Linked DNA regions of Drosophila melanogaster. The main gene of each other region encodes a partner of the protein of the gene in region 2 in a complex. Each region holds a gene or a part of one and is shown on either strand. Other genes may lie near its edges. The genes, in order: MED4, MED21, MED31 and MED8.

Region 1 (3,472 bases), about 18 Mb from region 2:
AAATTTTTTCCAACAATATCGAATGGGAAAAAGTAAAAGTTTGGCCTGTGTGCTGGCTGGCTGTGTGGTATGTGAGTGTCGTATGTAACCCGATTGCGGATGCGGCGATGCAAGTGGCGATGGCGGTGTCTCTCGCTCCCTGGCCTCCACTCCACTCCACCTTCCACTTCCACTTTTTCTTTATATTTGATATTGCAATTGGTTTGAGTCGAGCCTTCGCTTCGCTTCGCCCTCTGTACACACACACTGCGAACGGGGGGTCGGTTTTCTACTATCGTTTTCGGGGCTTATCTCTCGTTAAAGACGCACACGGGGCTGATCTGCGATTGGCGGCGACACTGGACTACACCTTGGCCACATTTTAGCTACTTGAAACACGCTGCATACGCGTTGCATTCCATTTTATTTGAAAAACCAAAGCTAAAATAATTGCGAGCTGTCAAAGTATCGATTGCACGCGACCCTGCCAATCGATTGTTTATATGGTTGAGGAGGACCGTATCGCACTAGCGCAAAAGTACCAAGCTCTTGACACGAAGCTATTATAAGCTGTTTCCACTGATACATAACTTTGCATTTTTTTAAATGCCAATTTAAATTGTAAATTAATATCATTAAAGAAGGTCATAAAATTAGATATGTATCCCAGCTACTCAAATATATACATAACTAGACTTCCTTACAGCGCGCTTTTATTAAATACCTAATACTACTAGCTTAAACGAGATTTAGTTATAGTTTTTTATCCAATTCTACTGCGAATCGCTGGAACTGGAGCTTGAGCTATCCGTGGACATGACCTCCACATCGTCCTGGGCGCGCGTCTCCAGGGCCACTGTGTTCCCAGAGGCGCCCATGGTCATGTGCAGCTCTCCGAGATTCCAGTTAAACTGGTTCTGGAAGGCATTGGGCACCTCGCCGCCGGCGCCACTGCCACTCCCACTTCCTGCGCTACCGGACAGCGTTCGCTGCTGCTCCGAGGGCATGCCGCTGTTCTGGTGGGTCACTGTTCCGCCGTTGATGTTCTGCTCGGATTTACCCAGCAGCCCGTTGCGCATCTCAATGTCCGTGGGATAGGGACGCCGCAGGTCACCTATGCACCAGGTGAGCGGAGCACTGACCGCATTGGCGGAGCTAATCCGATGTGCGTATTTGATGAGCTCCTCGGATGAAACCGGTCGTTTGTTGGCCTGATTGATGCTGGCCAGTTTCTGTCGCGCTTGGAAGATGGCCGTGGACAGTATGAGCTCCGCATCCTTTAGCGACTTTTGCAGCTTCTGGATCTCACGGTCCTAAGCGGGAAAATCCAGATTATACCTTATTTTTGGGGAATGCAAAACTTCTACTTACGTGCACCTCGACCTTAGCGCGCAGTTGGTCCATCGCCTCCTCCACTTTCGCCTGCTCCTCCGCCAGTTCCAGCATTTTGCGAAATTCCTCATCTTTGGCCACCAGCAAATCCAACAGGTCCACCAATTCGGTGCTGGAGATCTTCTGGTGCGCCTGCTCGATCAACTCCTTGGCAATCATCTCAATGTCGTCGATCAGGAGCAGAAGGCGCTCTTTTGTGCTCAAATGAAACGACATTATCACGGCAAATCGTTTGTGCTAAGCAATAATTGCAATTTGTTTATTTTCCACACCGCAATGTGGCCGTTCTTCGATTGCTGAAATATACCGTATAGTATTCCGGAGCGCTGTTAATACCACGTTGTAAAAATACCGTAACAGAGAGGTTGCCAGACTAATAGGAGTTGCCACATGGGTTATTTCATACACTCAAAAAAAAGGGAATCAAGTACTCAAAAGCAAAGAGTAGAAGAGACTGTTCAAAAATAAAACAAATTCGCAGCGTTATCTCTAGTAGGTATTATTTGCTTGTTTATTTCTCGTGTGTTACAATTGCAGTTACAATTTTAGCATAAAACTCTTCTGTTGATTAGCCAAATCAAACCTAACAAACCTTCTCAAATATGGCAGATTACAATACTCTGTTGCATCCTCGCGTTCGCGTCTCCCGTCAGTTTCACTCTTAAAACATACAAACCAGCAAGCAACTTGCAGCAGGTACGTTGGAGGGGCCTTGTTAATAACCGTTTAGAACTAGTAGATAGTCTTACAATTAGTTAAGATATAAGTGGTTTATATGTGGCTATTCATATTTCTTCTCCGCCCAAAGGATCCCCTTTCATCAAACCGCATATGTATGTACATACATACATATGTACATATGCATAACAATCAGTATCGCTGGCTCTCGCGATCCGAGTATTTGCCACTCAGCTTGCTAACCGAATAGCGATCCGAGTAGGCATCGTACTTGTCCGCCTTGTAGTTGATCTCCTGCGGCGTGTATCCGATATTCTTCTGCCAGTGCCGCGTCCAGTAGAGATCCTCGTTGCGCACCTGCGATGGCGTCTTCGCATCCCGGAACACGTACACACAGTAGATCATGCAGCCGATTAGCGTGAGGAAGCCGAAGACCAGGAACACAATTCCCAGTATCCACACGTACAGTGGCTCATAGAACTGCACCACAATGACGAATCCTAGCGTCACCAGGATCAGGCCCAAGTTGAGCAACAGCATCAGACAGCACACGCCCTTGACATTGGGGCAAAATGGATTCGGCGCGGACATGGTTTCCACTTTGGCGCCTCGCCGAGTCGTCGAGCGCGCACTGCGTCCGGTTTTGGCCGTACTGGCCACGGAGTAAACACTCCGTGGAGCTCCTCGCGACACTGGACGCTGACTGTAGCGACTGTAATGGATGATAGATAGTTTAGATATGGGTTATATGCTATATAGTTGTAACAACGCACCTGATCTCGGAGGGCGCCTTGTAGGCGGCACTGGTCACATAGATGTCGCTGCCGGCGTCACCAGCCTGGTCATAGCTCAGGGCGGACGGAGCACGCGGTGGCTGGCGCGTGGGCGGCGGTCCGCTGAGGGAGCGAGGTCCTCCGTTGTCCGGCGAACTGGAGAGGCCCATCTGACTGTGGCTGTAGCTGCTCTGCAGGTGCTGATGCTGATGGTTTCCATTCGAGGATGAGGAGCGCTTCTTGCGCGAACCATTGTACTGCGGCGAGATGCGCTCGTGGGTCAACGTGTACTCCGAATAGGTGCGCTCCGAGGGCGCCCGGTGGGAGTGGGTCTCATCGCCGTCGGTGGAATAGCCGCGGTTCGAGTGGACGTAGGGCGGATCCGGAGTGAGGCGACCGTGCGTGGCCACATAATGGCTGCCCTTCAACCTGTAATTGGATCGCAAATGTTATCGCCGCTGTATTAGCCGTTAAGTGGCCCATCCGCGCTACTCACTTCTTCACTTGTCTCTCGTGCATCCTGTATCTTTTGCTCCGCCTGTATCTGTATCTTTTGCTGGCTCTTCTCTGCGGCTGATTGACTGCTAATGGACCCGTCTAGCAATTCCTCGAGGTGCCTGCAATGGGTAAGTAAAGCAAAACAAACACAC
Region 2 (3,686 bases):
TATGATGCTATCCCTACAGAAAAGCATGAAATATTTCATAACGATCAAAACGTGCAAAATTTCCTGATACAACTTCTTGTATCTTCAAAATCCCCATGCTGGCTTCCCTACGGATATCTATTCACTTCATACACAAGAACTCACACAGTTCATTACCGAAAAAAACACTGGAGTAATGCTACTATCAGAAACGCACCTCACAAATCATTCAGATGGTAAAGCTCTTGGAGGCACTGGCATACTAATCAGAAATCGCATAAAAACCACCTCAATCTACGTCCATAGTCTAACTACTCAACAATGGTTCAATGACTCTAGCCGCAGTCTACTGCCCACCACGCTATCCAATACATACTGACCAGCAGACCCAAGAAAAATCCCAGACCCAGATCACACATAGAACTAACGCCGGCATTATCTGCTAAGGAAAATATAGACAAGTCAACGGACACTGTTGAAAATATTCTAGTTTCGGGTGCAAAGTGACGTATGCCCACCAGCACTAAGAACCTTTTGTAGAGAAAAGACAGTGATGAGAAAAGAGCCAGAGCAGTTGCTGACCACTTACAAATTTTATTTCTACCAAATCCTGCTATAAAGTCATTATTCTCCCTCCTTTAGCAGAAGCAAACTTAGATTATGTGAATTAGCAAAGGTTATCAAAAAGCAACTGAAGCGATTTTGGCTTCGACCTAATAACTCAAAAAATCCTTATTGAACTCCCAGTGTGATGTTCTGCACATGTGCTTGTTGTTCAACGCAATCGCCAAGCATGGATACTTCCCTCAAAAATGGAAAAAATCTACCATAGTAATGATTCCAATGCCAGGAAAAGATAAAACGCAGCCATCATCATATAGACCGATACAGTAACTAACTTATCTCTAAAATTTATTTGAAAAAATGCTACTCCTGGGAATAAGCCCTCGTCATGGAAAAAACATGGAACCATCGAACAGGCCAATCGAATCACGTCAGAAATTCGTACTGCTTTTGAGCATCGAGAATATTACACAGCCATTTTACTAGACGTCGCGCAGGCATTTGACAGTGTTTCTGGATGGACTTTTGCTTAAACTAGCCAAGCTATTGTTCCAAAACATACATAAGCTACTGAAGTCGCAATAAGATGCAAGGAACCTTCACTGGCTCATGCTCGCTCTCCACTTAGCGTGGAGTTCAAAGCTCTCCTATACAACTCCGTCTTAAAACCAATCTGGACTTATGGCTCCGACCTGTGGGGCATCCATTCAGCGAGAACAGCCAACAATTCTGAGAATTCTGACTAGAGCGTGATACCTTCGGAACGAAGACATACACAGAGAGAAAAAAATCAAATTATTTATCGAAATAATAACTGAGAAGAAAATTAAAATACCTAGTAAAACTGACCACCCATTCAAATCCCCTCACAAGAAAACTAATCGGAGGCACAAAGTGTTCGTATCATAAAATCTTTGTTGCTTTTAAAAACCTTTAAAAAACAAGAGAGGTAGCTTTAAAATTTTTCATATGACATCTTTAAGATATGGTGAACCGATTTAGATATGTTAAAAATTAAAAGAATAATTATCGTGAAAAAGGGTACGGCTGTTCTTACTGATATTTATACCCACTTAATTGGACTGAAATGCTTTTTTCACTTCGTTGCAAGCTTATAACTGAAATCGATATACCCTCCTCAAGGATATACCAAGATTGTGTGAGAGAGGTTGCAGACTACTTGGAGACCAACTGCTTCCTTGTTATAACCGAAATTGTGATGATTTTGAACAAGACAAGAGGGATCGATGTGCAACGTGTGGTCATATATTATGGAGATTCCACTGTTTCCGACAATCTTATGGTAGTTTATATCGTTGGAATGAAGACATTATTATGGCACAGTGTGAACAAGAATAATTCGTCTCATTGAAAGAAATCACGTTTTAGTGTGGAACTCATATTAATAGCATTTCTTTTTTTAAGAGAATAGTCGCTGCTGTGAGGTATCTGTAAATAAGACATAAAATCAATCGATAAATAAATGCTTATATATTATAAAAATCACCAACGGTCATTGTATGTTGATATTATGTTGATTATGTTATGTTGATATTAAAAATGTTAATCAAAATTTGAACTGGCTAATCAAACTTAATTCCATATAATTTTTTGTTTTTCAGAATTATTAACTCTGTAGTAAAATGGCGGATCGGCTTACACAATTGCAAGACACCGTTAATCAGGTAAGTGACTTCGTATTAAGAAATAACCAGTTTTTTATGTAAAATAATCATTGCAGCAAGCGGAGCACTTCTGCAATGCTATTGGTGTAATTCAACAAACGTCCCTTCCAAGTAAATTTGTTAATTTTGAACGCATTGGACCCCAAACGCCAATCCCATGTCCGCCGCAAGAAGACTATGCCCAATTATTTGCACAGTTAATTGCACGATGTGCTAAAGACATCGACACCTTAATCGAGTCTCTTCCAAATGAAGACAGCTCCATTGAACTCCAAAATTCTAGCCTTAAGAGGCTCGAGATCGAAAACCAGGGAACTGCAAGAGACCTAGAGGAAGTAGTGCAAAAAGGCGAACTTTTGCTAGAAAAAATGCAGTATTCTTTGGAATGCATTGCTCAGGCTCAATTAGATATGCAAATAACACTCAAACATGATTTACAATAGCTGCTTAACACATTTTTGTATAAAGGCAAATTATTTTTAAATTTAAGATAATGTATTTATTGCATTTTCGTTCGTGTTTACAGATCAAATGGGTTTTAGTATATACATATTGTTTTTATAAGTAAAGTATTTTAGCTTAATTTAGACCTAAACCATTTTGAACAGCACCTCTGACCTCGTTGATATAATTTTTATAATAATTAATTATAGTTTTAAGTTATAAAAAAAACTATATATACTTACACGTACCCCACTTTGGATTTTATGAACAAATTAAATTTATGTGCTCTAAAATATTTAATTCATTGTTGTAAATAAGTATTAGTTAAGTGTACCCCGACATCCTTGGGCGCCGCATAGACAAGGTATTTTTTCGTCTTCTAGTGGAAATTTATAGTCGTAAGTTATTTCCTCGTTGATACCAATGGGTTGCTTTGAATATATTACTATCTTCTTTTCAGATTCAATAGTTATAACCTTAGCGTAGCAATTCGGCTGAAAAACAAAATTTTATGTTGGTAACATAATGTCAGAACATCCAGCTTACTTACATTGCAACTGTGATTTATAAACCGAGCTAAGTTTCCACATTTAGTTGCGTCAATTATAGTTTCCATGTCAATTCGAAACAAATAGGAACTCCCAATCCCAATTGCTTCATACTTTGTTTCTCTTAGATCAGCAACTACAGGTCGAATCATCTGACCAACATATTCAATAACCATTTCGTCTGCAGCTATGGGCTCCATTGCAAATAATCCCCAATCATGTATCGCAGATTTTGCAAACTTAAGCTGTTTCTTCCGAAACTTTAGCTGATTAAATTTTAAAAGCTCAGACTCACCCATAGAACCAAAGGCTGTTAAAAGTCTTCTCTGGTTTGAGCGAGCTTCGCGGGAAATTCCTTGCATTTTAGAAATTAATTTATTGTGATGATGATTTGTAAGTGCTGTAGGTTCATCGCTCCGATCTTCATTAAAGGAATCTTCTGTATTGGCTTTAGCATAATGGTACT
Region 3 (3,966 bases), on a different chromosome or scaffold from region 2:
CTTATAATGTATGTTTTCACTGTTCTCCGCTTGACTCTTGGACGATCGAGTGGGTGTTTCTGCGCCGAAAACCGGTTTGCAACTGTAATGGAAAGCAAAAATGTAATGAGTTTTGTAGGCAGTCAGGTACGCCAGGACGACCCCCGGACAGGTAGTGCCAGCTGACACCCATAAACGCTAAGCTCAGACAGTTCTTTAAAATATACCAATAAATCTGCAGCTGTTCCTATGTGGAAAAGCCAACCGTTGGCTTTACCCCTTATGCACCCCCGTAAATAAAGCCGTGGTCATAGTTACAACACTAAACATTTTAATATTACCTATGAATTTTCCCACTTAAGAACATTGATTCATTTCACATGTATATAGGAAGATGTTTAGGAGTAAAGATCACTTTAGTCAAGAGTCGCGACTATGAGATACCCAGCACTCAGCGAAGACATTTATTTGATACGTTTCTAATAATCCTATTTTAACTATTATGACAATTGTATGGAACTACAGTGTTATATGCCAATTTGGGCGTTGTAGATCGTGGTCAGATCGACCAGGCCATTGGTCCGGATCGAAGAAACATTTACATTATAGGGTCGGAATCACTTTTTATACCAGTTACACACTGTACACTTTTCACTCTATAATACTGTTTTAGGTAATGGTCTATTTATCTCGAATTTAGATGTACGAATTAGTGTGGCAAACCAATCGATCAATTAAAATTGCGACTGTGGCTTGCCTAAGCGGACACAAAAGAGACTTACATTCGTAATTACATTGAAATGATTCAGAAGCCTATCAAGAAACAATCTTTGGTTCTATTTGGACGGCAGCTGTGCTGTGCTGTATAGATACATATGCACATATGTACATATGTGTACATCTGTATGCATCTGTATATGTATATACATTTCGGAGTTGTATTCAAGCAGAGCACACTGTAATCTAATAATAGATTCTTCGCCAACATGAATTTTTTGTGGATGATGATTAACCCGTCGAAATCGGGGAAATAGTTGGATATACATATATAATGTTTCATATGCACTTAAATTACATAATTTTGTTAATACTTACATTTCTGAATTGTGCGTCGCTGCTTCGCTTGTTCCTCAGCACAAAAATAGGTGCGGGGGCGTTCTGTCCACAGATAGAAATTAGTTTCACTCGTTGATTTCTCGTTTATTTAGCCTAAACTACGACTTTTTCAGTGGCTTGGTTCCGATTAGATATGTTTTACAGACGAAATTCAAGTTTTTCCTCGCTGCTTTTCAGGCTGACAAAAAAATCAGGCATTGTTCTCCACAGCGTTCGTCGTAGGCTTGTGAAAATACCGAATTAAATGCGCATCACATTAGGGGTAGTGAAATAAATACTGAAGGCTACACACAATTGTTAATTACATATTATAATTAAAAATTGTCAATGTTCTGGTCGGAATTTTATATTTTAATATAAATTTTAATTGTTTTATTATGATTATTTGTAGATACCATTGATCGCTGTACTTCTTGATACATACGCTCAGATTTGTTTAAACTTACTCTGGTATTAAAGATTTTTGTTGGTTAAAACAACCCTAATTCTAATTTTTAACACAGAAACATTTTCAAGAATACCGTTAGCACACACCAAGTAAAATATACGGAAAAGCAGTATTTTACGAAAAAAAAATCGTATTCGGATGAGCTTGCAGCCCTGGCGGGGACAGAAGTAGGGTTGTCGCCGGCCATCAACAATCCAAATGAACTCCTACGGTTTGTAGACAATATTAAAAACTGAATTTAACTGCCTTCCCACAAGAAATCACCAACACAAAGGGAGCGACAACCCACCGCCTGCGCCCAGAAACCTGGTCGACTGTTTTCCCGAGTTTTCTTTTGGCCCACAACCTGCGTTTGCTCTGTGCAGTCACTGCCGCGCCATACATTTTATTTCATTAGCGAAGCCCATATATATTTATAATTTTACTTGTGTGTTTTGTTTGCCGCGACGTTTCGTTTTCAATTCGATGGTGCACCAAAACACACAGCTCAGAACATCCACATAGCACACTGAAAGAAACCAAGAACCCAACCCGACACCGAAACTGAATAGACGCAAGTACCGACCCAACGAGACCCTTTCCAAAGCCAAAGACCAGTCCAAAATGGCCAAAATGTACGGAAAGGGTAAGAGTAAGTACACGCCAATCCACACCCATTTTCGCATTGTAATCTAACACCTACTGACACCGCTTGGCATGCCGAATCCTCAGAGATCTACCAAAAGTGGTGCTAATTTCTCAGGGACTAATGCTCTCCAATTTCTTCCGTAGCTGCTATCGAGTCGGAGGAGCTGCAGAAGCGACGCTGGCAGATCGAGCTGGAGTTCGTGCAGTGCCTGTCGAACCCCAACTATCTAAACTGTAAGAATAATATTACCTCGACCTACCTAATATTCACTTATTCACCATCTTGCGCGTATATCTAAATAAACAATTACAACGCCTTGTGCCAGTCCTTGCACAGCGTGGATTTTTCAAGGACCAGTCGTTCATCAACTACCTGAAGTATCTGCAGTACTGGAAGGAGCCGGACTATGCGAAATACCTCATGTACCCAATGTGCCTCTACTTCCTCGATCTGCTGCAGTACGAACACTTCCGCCGGGAGATCGTCAACTCGCAGTGCTGCAAGTTCATAGACGACCAGGCCATTCTGCAGTGGCAGCACTACACTCGCAAGCGCATCAAACTGATCGAAAACGTTACGGCCGCCCAGCAGCAACAACAGCAGCTTCAGCAGCAACAACAGCAGGCGAACGGCATGGAGGCAGCAACGGGAGGCGAATCAGCAGCACCTACCCCCAACGTGAACGGGTCAGCTTCCACGGCGGATAGTCAACAGACGTCTTCTGCCCTACAGCCTGTCCAAGCACAGCCTGGAAATCCCCAGCAGCAGCAGCAAATCAATGGCGTGGCATCGGGGGCCAACATAAAACTAGAGTTAAACTAGCGCTGGCAACTAAAAGTTTACCAATAAAATAGTATAAGAACCTGGAACAAGTTATTTTGCATTCCATTTATTATCTTCCTTTTTGGCTGAGAAACAGCTACCACTTAACACACCTTATTTTCTTAGCTATTTTAGCCAAACTAAAATTCTAAAATAATTTTATTTCTTTTTTTATTTTAGAAAATCTTGAAAACCTCATCTCATTGCTTTAGTTAGGGTGTCGCCTCCTTTGTCGTTGGTTTTTGGTTGCAGACACAAAGCAAGTTTCATTAATCTATCTGTTGGTGAATTCACAGACCCACAGGACACAGCTTCTCAACAGGAGGAATCCGTCGCGCTGAAGGGCCACTTCTACGGCGTCTATTTGCTATGCAGTCAGAGCTTGGATCCTCGCTACCGGGGAAAATGCTACGTGGGCTTCACCGTGAACCCCAAACGGCGGATACGCCAACACAATCTTGGTTGTGATTTCGGTGGCGCGAGGAAAACCAGTCGCAAAGGGCCGTGGCTGATGGTAATGATCGTGCACGGATTCCCGAATAATACAGTGGCACTCCAGTTTGAATGGGCTTGGCAACAGCCGTCGCTTTCAACTAGGCTTAAAATGTACCCTGAATTAAAACGAAAACTGCCCAGGGAGACGTTCTTTGACTACAACTTTAGGATCCTTAGTAATATGCTGGGGGTTGGCCCTTGGAATAGATTACCGCTCACCGTTCGCTGGCTAGAAACGGATTACGAGAGGCCATTCAGCAAGGCACTGCCTAAACACATGGAAATTGTGAGTGGCAAGGTTTCCATTAGTGCCTCACAACGTAGGAGACCTGATGATGCAGTACCTCCTCCACCTGTGGCGTGGGCTTCCGAGTGCCACCTTTGTATGCAGGAAATGGAGCAACCGGAGAAATCCCGCCTGGGATGCACAAATCAAATGTGTCGGCTGACATGCCATATGGTGTGCCTGGCCAATTAC
Region 4 (3,649 bases), on a different chromosome or scaffold from region 2:
GAGTGCGGCGAACGAGAGCGTCCGTAACGCTGCGACGGAGGCGGTGGACCTGGCGGCGGTCCACCTGTGGGCGGATAACGACCGTAGGGCGGTGCTCCACCCTCACGACCTTCGCGACCGTCGCGTTCGCTCTCTCCAGAGCTGCTCTCCCCCTGGATGTACATCTTCTTGTAGCCCGTGTGGCGCCATCGGTTTGGATCCTTCTCCTCTGCCTCGATCAGCTTCTTGTCCCAATAATCGTTGGTGGTGTTGGCGCGCGCCTTCTTCATCACGTTGTCGATCTCGCGTCGCTTTCCAGCGGGTAATGAGGGATCTGCAAGGTTGAGAGGTAAAAGGTAAGCTTCGATTGGCAGGGTGGTGGGCGGTGCTTTGTTCCGGGAAGCCCCTAAGACGGGCTGATGGGTTTATGGGCCCTTAGACATCGCTAATCCCGGCGAGGTAATTGGGTTTTCCCACTTCTATGCAGTTGCTTGCTGGTAGTTGGTAGAAGTTTCAGTTCAGGTACCTGTTATGCGGGCAGCTGTCGGCTGCCTGTCCATGTGCAGTTTTGGATTCAGTTCGGCGCGCCTGCGCGACGCCATCGCGAGATTTCGGATTTCTATCGCTTTGGCAACTATGTATATGTATATATATCGCGCGACAGATATATGTATGTATGTACTCGGGTTTCAATGTTTATTACCCCCAATCGGTTAGGGTTTGGTTTACTGTTTCGGATTCGGTTTGGCGAACGCGACAACACACTTTACCATTTCAAAAACATACACAACAAGCTGCAAATATATTACAATTGAATATAGAAACATGTAAAGAGAGCATTAGAAATGGCTAACACAAAGCAACAACAATATCAGGAGCGGAGTTATACAGAATGGGAATAGAGCGGAGAGACCTGAAAACGCAGAGAGAATCGCGGACGCGCTCCGGCTGTCATTTAACCCATATCACGCCGCGGGGGTCGGGGACCTGTGGTCCCAATCAAAATCGTGCGAGAGAGCCGATTTTTAATCGGCTTGCGCGTATATCTTTTCACATATGCATTTTGAATTTCTTCCATTTTTCACACATACACTCACACCAGCACCAATATATTTGCCTTGTCAGCACGAGAGGAATGCAGAGCGAGACAGAGAGAGAGTGTGAGGCAAAAGTTGGCGATACTCCCGACGGCAGCAACTAAATTTCGAATTTCAGCTCTGGCAATTATGTAAACGATGTAAAACAGGCACTAAAATAATTTGCTTACATTTGGCGACGTTTGCGGGCACGCTTTACGATATTTCGTGAGCTGTTAACGTTTTATTGGCAAATGAAAAACACGGCGTTGCGTTCACTTCAATTTTTCTCGACGGCCATGTTGGTAGTATCGATATGCCGGGGCACAATCGATGGCTTGGCTTCAATAGTCTAAGGACTGTTCAGAGTCTGATGAACTCGAGTCAGTTTATATATTTTAATAATAAATATTGTGTTATTTCAAGAGGCGCTCGTAGTTGAAAACACTATTCGTTTTGGGAATGTTTTATATATTAGACTATTTAAATCATATCATATTGTTTTGACATTATTTTAAGTATGCATTAACGATTCTGCTAATTATTGCAAAAATAAAAGTTATTAGTTCTATTTAAATTAAAACAGAAACAAATAATAACGATCAATTATTAGTTATTGGTGAGCATTAATTCATTTTTTATTGTTCAGTTTCCTTAATTGACCATATGATTTTAATTTTAGGATCTGAATGTAGTGTGGACGCCAGTTTGCTGCTATCGCAAACGTTATCGATAGTACGGTGTTGCAGTATTTTATTACACCCGACTAACAAATGATAATAAGCAGATCCACGGTCACACTTTCCACTTTGTGTCCATCCGACTGAAGTTAAAAATAATAGTTTAATTGGGAGTTTCCAAAATGCAGCGCGACGAAAAGCTTTTTGAGCTGACGCTGGATACGGTCCTTCAGCGTCTGAACGACCTGAAGCTGGCGGTTCTCTCGATGATCCAAAAACTTGAGCTAGAGTACGAGACCATCAACTGGCCGACTTTCCTGGACAACTTTGCCATTATCTCAAGTCACTTGACGGGATTGACGAAAATCTTGGCAAAGGAGCAGTGTCCGCCGCTAAGAAATCGAACGGTCCTGCCCCTTCTGGTCTCCATGGACCGGGATGACACCCTCATCAACATCACAGAGGGTCGGGTGCCAGTCTTTTCACACGACATTGTTCCAGACTATTTGAGAACTCGGCCGGATCCGATTACGGAACAGAAAATGCTGCAGAACGAACAGAAGGCGGCGAACCTCACCAACGACGCTGCCATGAAACAGGTCACTCAATACAACAAGGTCGTCTCCCACGTCCTGGATATGGTCAGCAAAGCGCGCGAGGAGTGGGAAATCGAGAGCTCTTCGCGCACCGGCATCCAGCAGACGAGTAGCATGGCCGACACACAGCTCCTGGTGGCCGCCGTGGGTATGGGAAAAGGACTCAAGCTGACCAACTATGGACCCGGACCTGGCATGATGGTACCGCCTTCAATTCGAGCACCCTCGCCAATGGGTGGACCCGCTATGAGTCCCGGCAACGTGCAGCAGCAGCTGGGAAAGGCGCCATCGGCTGTGAAAACAAACATCAAGTCCGCAAATCAAGTGCATCCGTTCTCTCGATAAAAAACATCAGTTTATTAGCTATTATCGGTTCCATCTGGCGGAATGTTTCGTCGTAATAAGTTATATGTATATTCCTAATTCTAAAACTAGGATTACGCAAACATAAACATGAACAAATTTAAATGGATCGTCTCCTCCGACTCAGACTTCTTATGTTGCTGGCTGTGCGTGCTTCTCATTGATGAGAATCTCGTGCAGCTTAATATCTTTCGGCGTGGAGGTGTCCACCAGCTCCAGGCACAGCGCTCGTCCGCCATCCTTTTGTTTAGTCATTCGCCGCACAATGCCAATAAACTTCTGACCCAGCGACAGTTCCCGGAATCGGACGCAGTTCTCCTTGCTCCATACTACATCAGTCAGTTGTATGCCTGAAAGAAGATCGTTTTTAGTTCTAACGCCAAACTGCTGAAGTTCTCTTGAACTTGCCATAAAGTTGTGCTGGCAATGCCATCTTGGGCAGCTTTCTTAACTCCGGATTTAGAGTTTTCAGTTGATCACAGGCAATTACTCCATCGTCGCCCACGTCGACGAAACGCACGTGTATAATCTCATCGTAAATCTTGTGAATACTTACGCTGCAAGATTAACAGATTTAGTCTGCGTTTTTATTGCAAGACCTGAATAAGTTCTTACCGATGATATACGCCTTCGGAGTCAGGGGCAGCGTAGGCCTCTCCAATGGCCAGTTGTGAAGGCTGCACTCCCTTGGCTGCCGTCTTTTGGCAATGCTCTTGTAAATTCTTCATCAAAGTCTGCAGCTGGTTATAGTATTTGTACGGTTGCACCTGCGGAAGAATCGCACATCATAATCGGAGTCATTAATTTGCTGATGATTGACTTACCGCAAAGTGACCGGGATTGACGGAGAGGGCAACGCGCACCTCGAAATAGGCACCCACTGCCGGAATAGCCTCGTAATCCTTGAGCATGAGAGACGAAAAGGTGCTGCCGGTCGATCTTGCGGATGGTTTCT

What was found.
Region 1: MED21 (region 2) and MED4 share a complex: the UniProt entries of both Drosophila melanogaster proteins name them as parts of the mediator complex.
Region 3: MED21 (region 2) and MED31 share a complex: the UniProt entries of both Drosophila melanogaster proteins name them as parts of the mediator complex.
Region 4: MED21 (region 2) and MED8 share a complex: the UniProt entries of both Drosophila melanogaster proteins name them as parts of the mediator complex.

What each region holds. Positions count from the first base shown.
Region 1 is NT_037436.4:7,248,858-7,252,329, forward strand, and holds MED4 (mediator complex subunit 4), read right to left. Parts: upstream 1,671-3,472; 5' UTR 1,588-1,670; coding exon 1,351-1,587; intron 1,293-1,350; coding exon 753-1,292; 3' UTR 672-752; downstream 1-671. Other genes in the region: CG14830 (uncharacterized protein), read right to left, coding at 2,242-2,761, 2,823-3,251, 3,319-3,341. UniProt on the Drosophila melanogaster protein: Component of the Mediator complex, a coactivator involved in the regulated transcription of nearly all RNA polymerase II-dependent genes.
Region 2 is NT_037436.4:25,114,204-25,117,889, reverse strand, and holds MED21 (mediator complex subunit 21), read left to right. Parts: upstream 1-1,943; 5' UTR 1,944-2,061; exon of another isoform or gene 2,062-2,165; 5' UTR 2,166-2,186; coding exon 2,187-2,228; intron 2,229-2,284; coding exon 2,285-2,671; 3' UTR 2,672-2,966; downstream 2,967-3,686. Other genes in the region: Set1 (SET domain containing 1), read right to left, coding at 2,993-3,166, 3,223-3,686. UniProt on the Drosophila melanogaster protein: Component of the Mediator complex, a coactivator involved in the regulated transcription of nearly all RNA polymerase II-dependent genes.
Region 3 is NT_033777.3:4,640,255-4,644,220, forward strand, and holds MED31 (mediator complex subunit 31), read left to right. Parts: upstream 1-1,708; 5' UTR 1,709-1,741; coding exon of another isoform or gene 1,742-1,754; exon of another isoform or gene 1,755-2,029; 5' UTR 2,030-2,146; coding exon 2,147-2,174; intron 2,175-2,314; coding exon 2,315-2,404; intron 2,405-2,496; coding exon 2,497-2,993; 3' UTR 2,994-3,038; downstream 3,039-3,966. Other genes in the region: nuclease slx1, read left to right, coding at 1,742-1,754, 3,290-3,966. UniProt on the Drosophila melanogaster protein: Component of the Mediator complex, a coactivator involved in the regulated transcription of nearly all RNA polymerase II-dependent genes.
Region 4 is NT_033778.4:20,324,991-20,328,639, reverse strand, and holds MED8 (mediator complex subunit 8), read left to right. Parts: upstream 1-1,833; 5' UTR 1,834-1,917; coding exon 1,918-2,676; 3' UTR 2,677-2,796; downstream 2,797-3,649. Other genes in the region: CG8929 (uncharacterized protein), read right to left, coding at 1-313, 506-581; tapas, read right to left, coding at 2,827-3,044, 3,103-3,251, 3,310-3,461, 3,519-3,649. UniProt on the Drosophila melanogaster protein: Component of the Mediator complex, a coactivator involved in the regulated transcription of nearly all RNA polymerase II-dependent genes.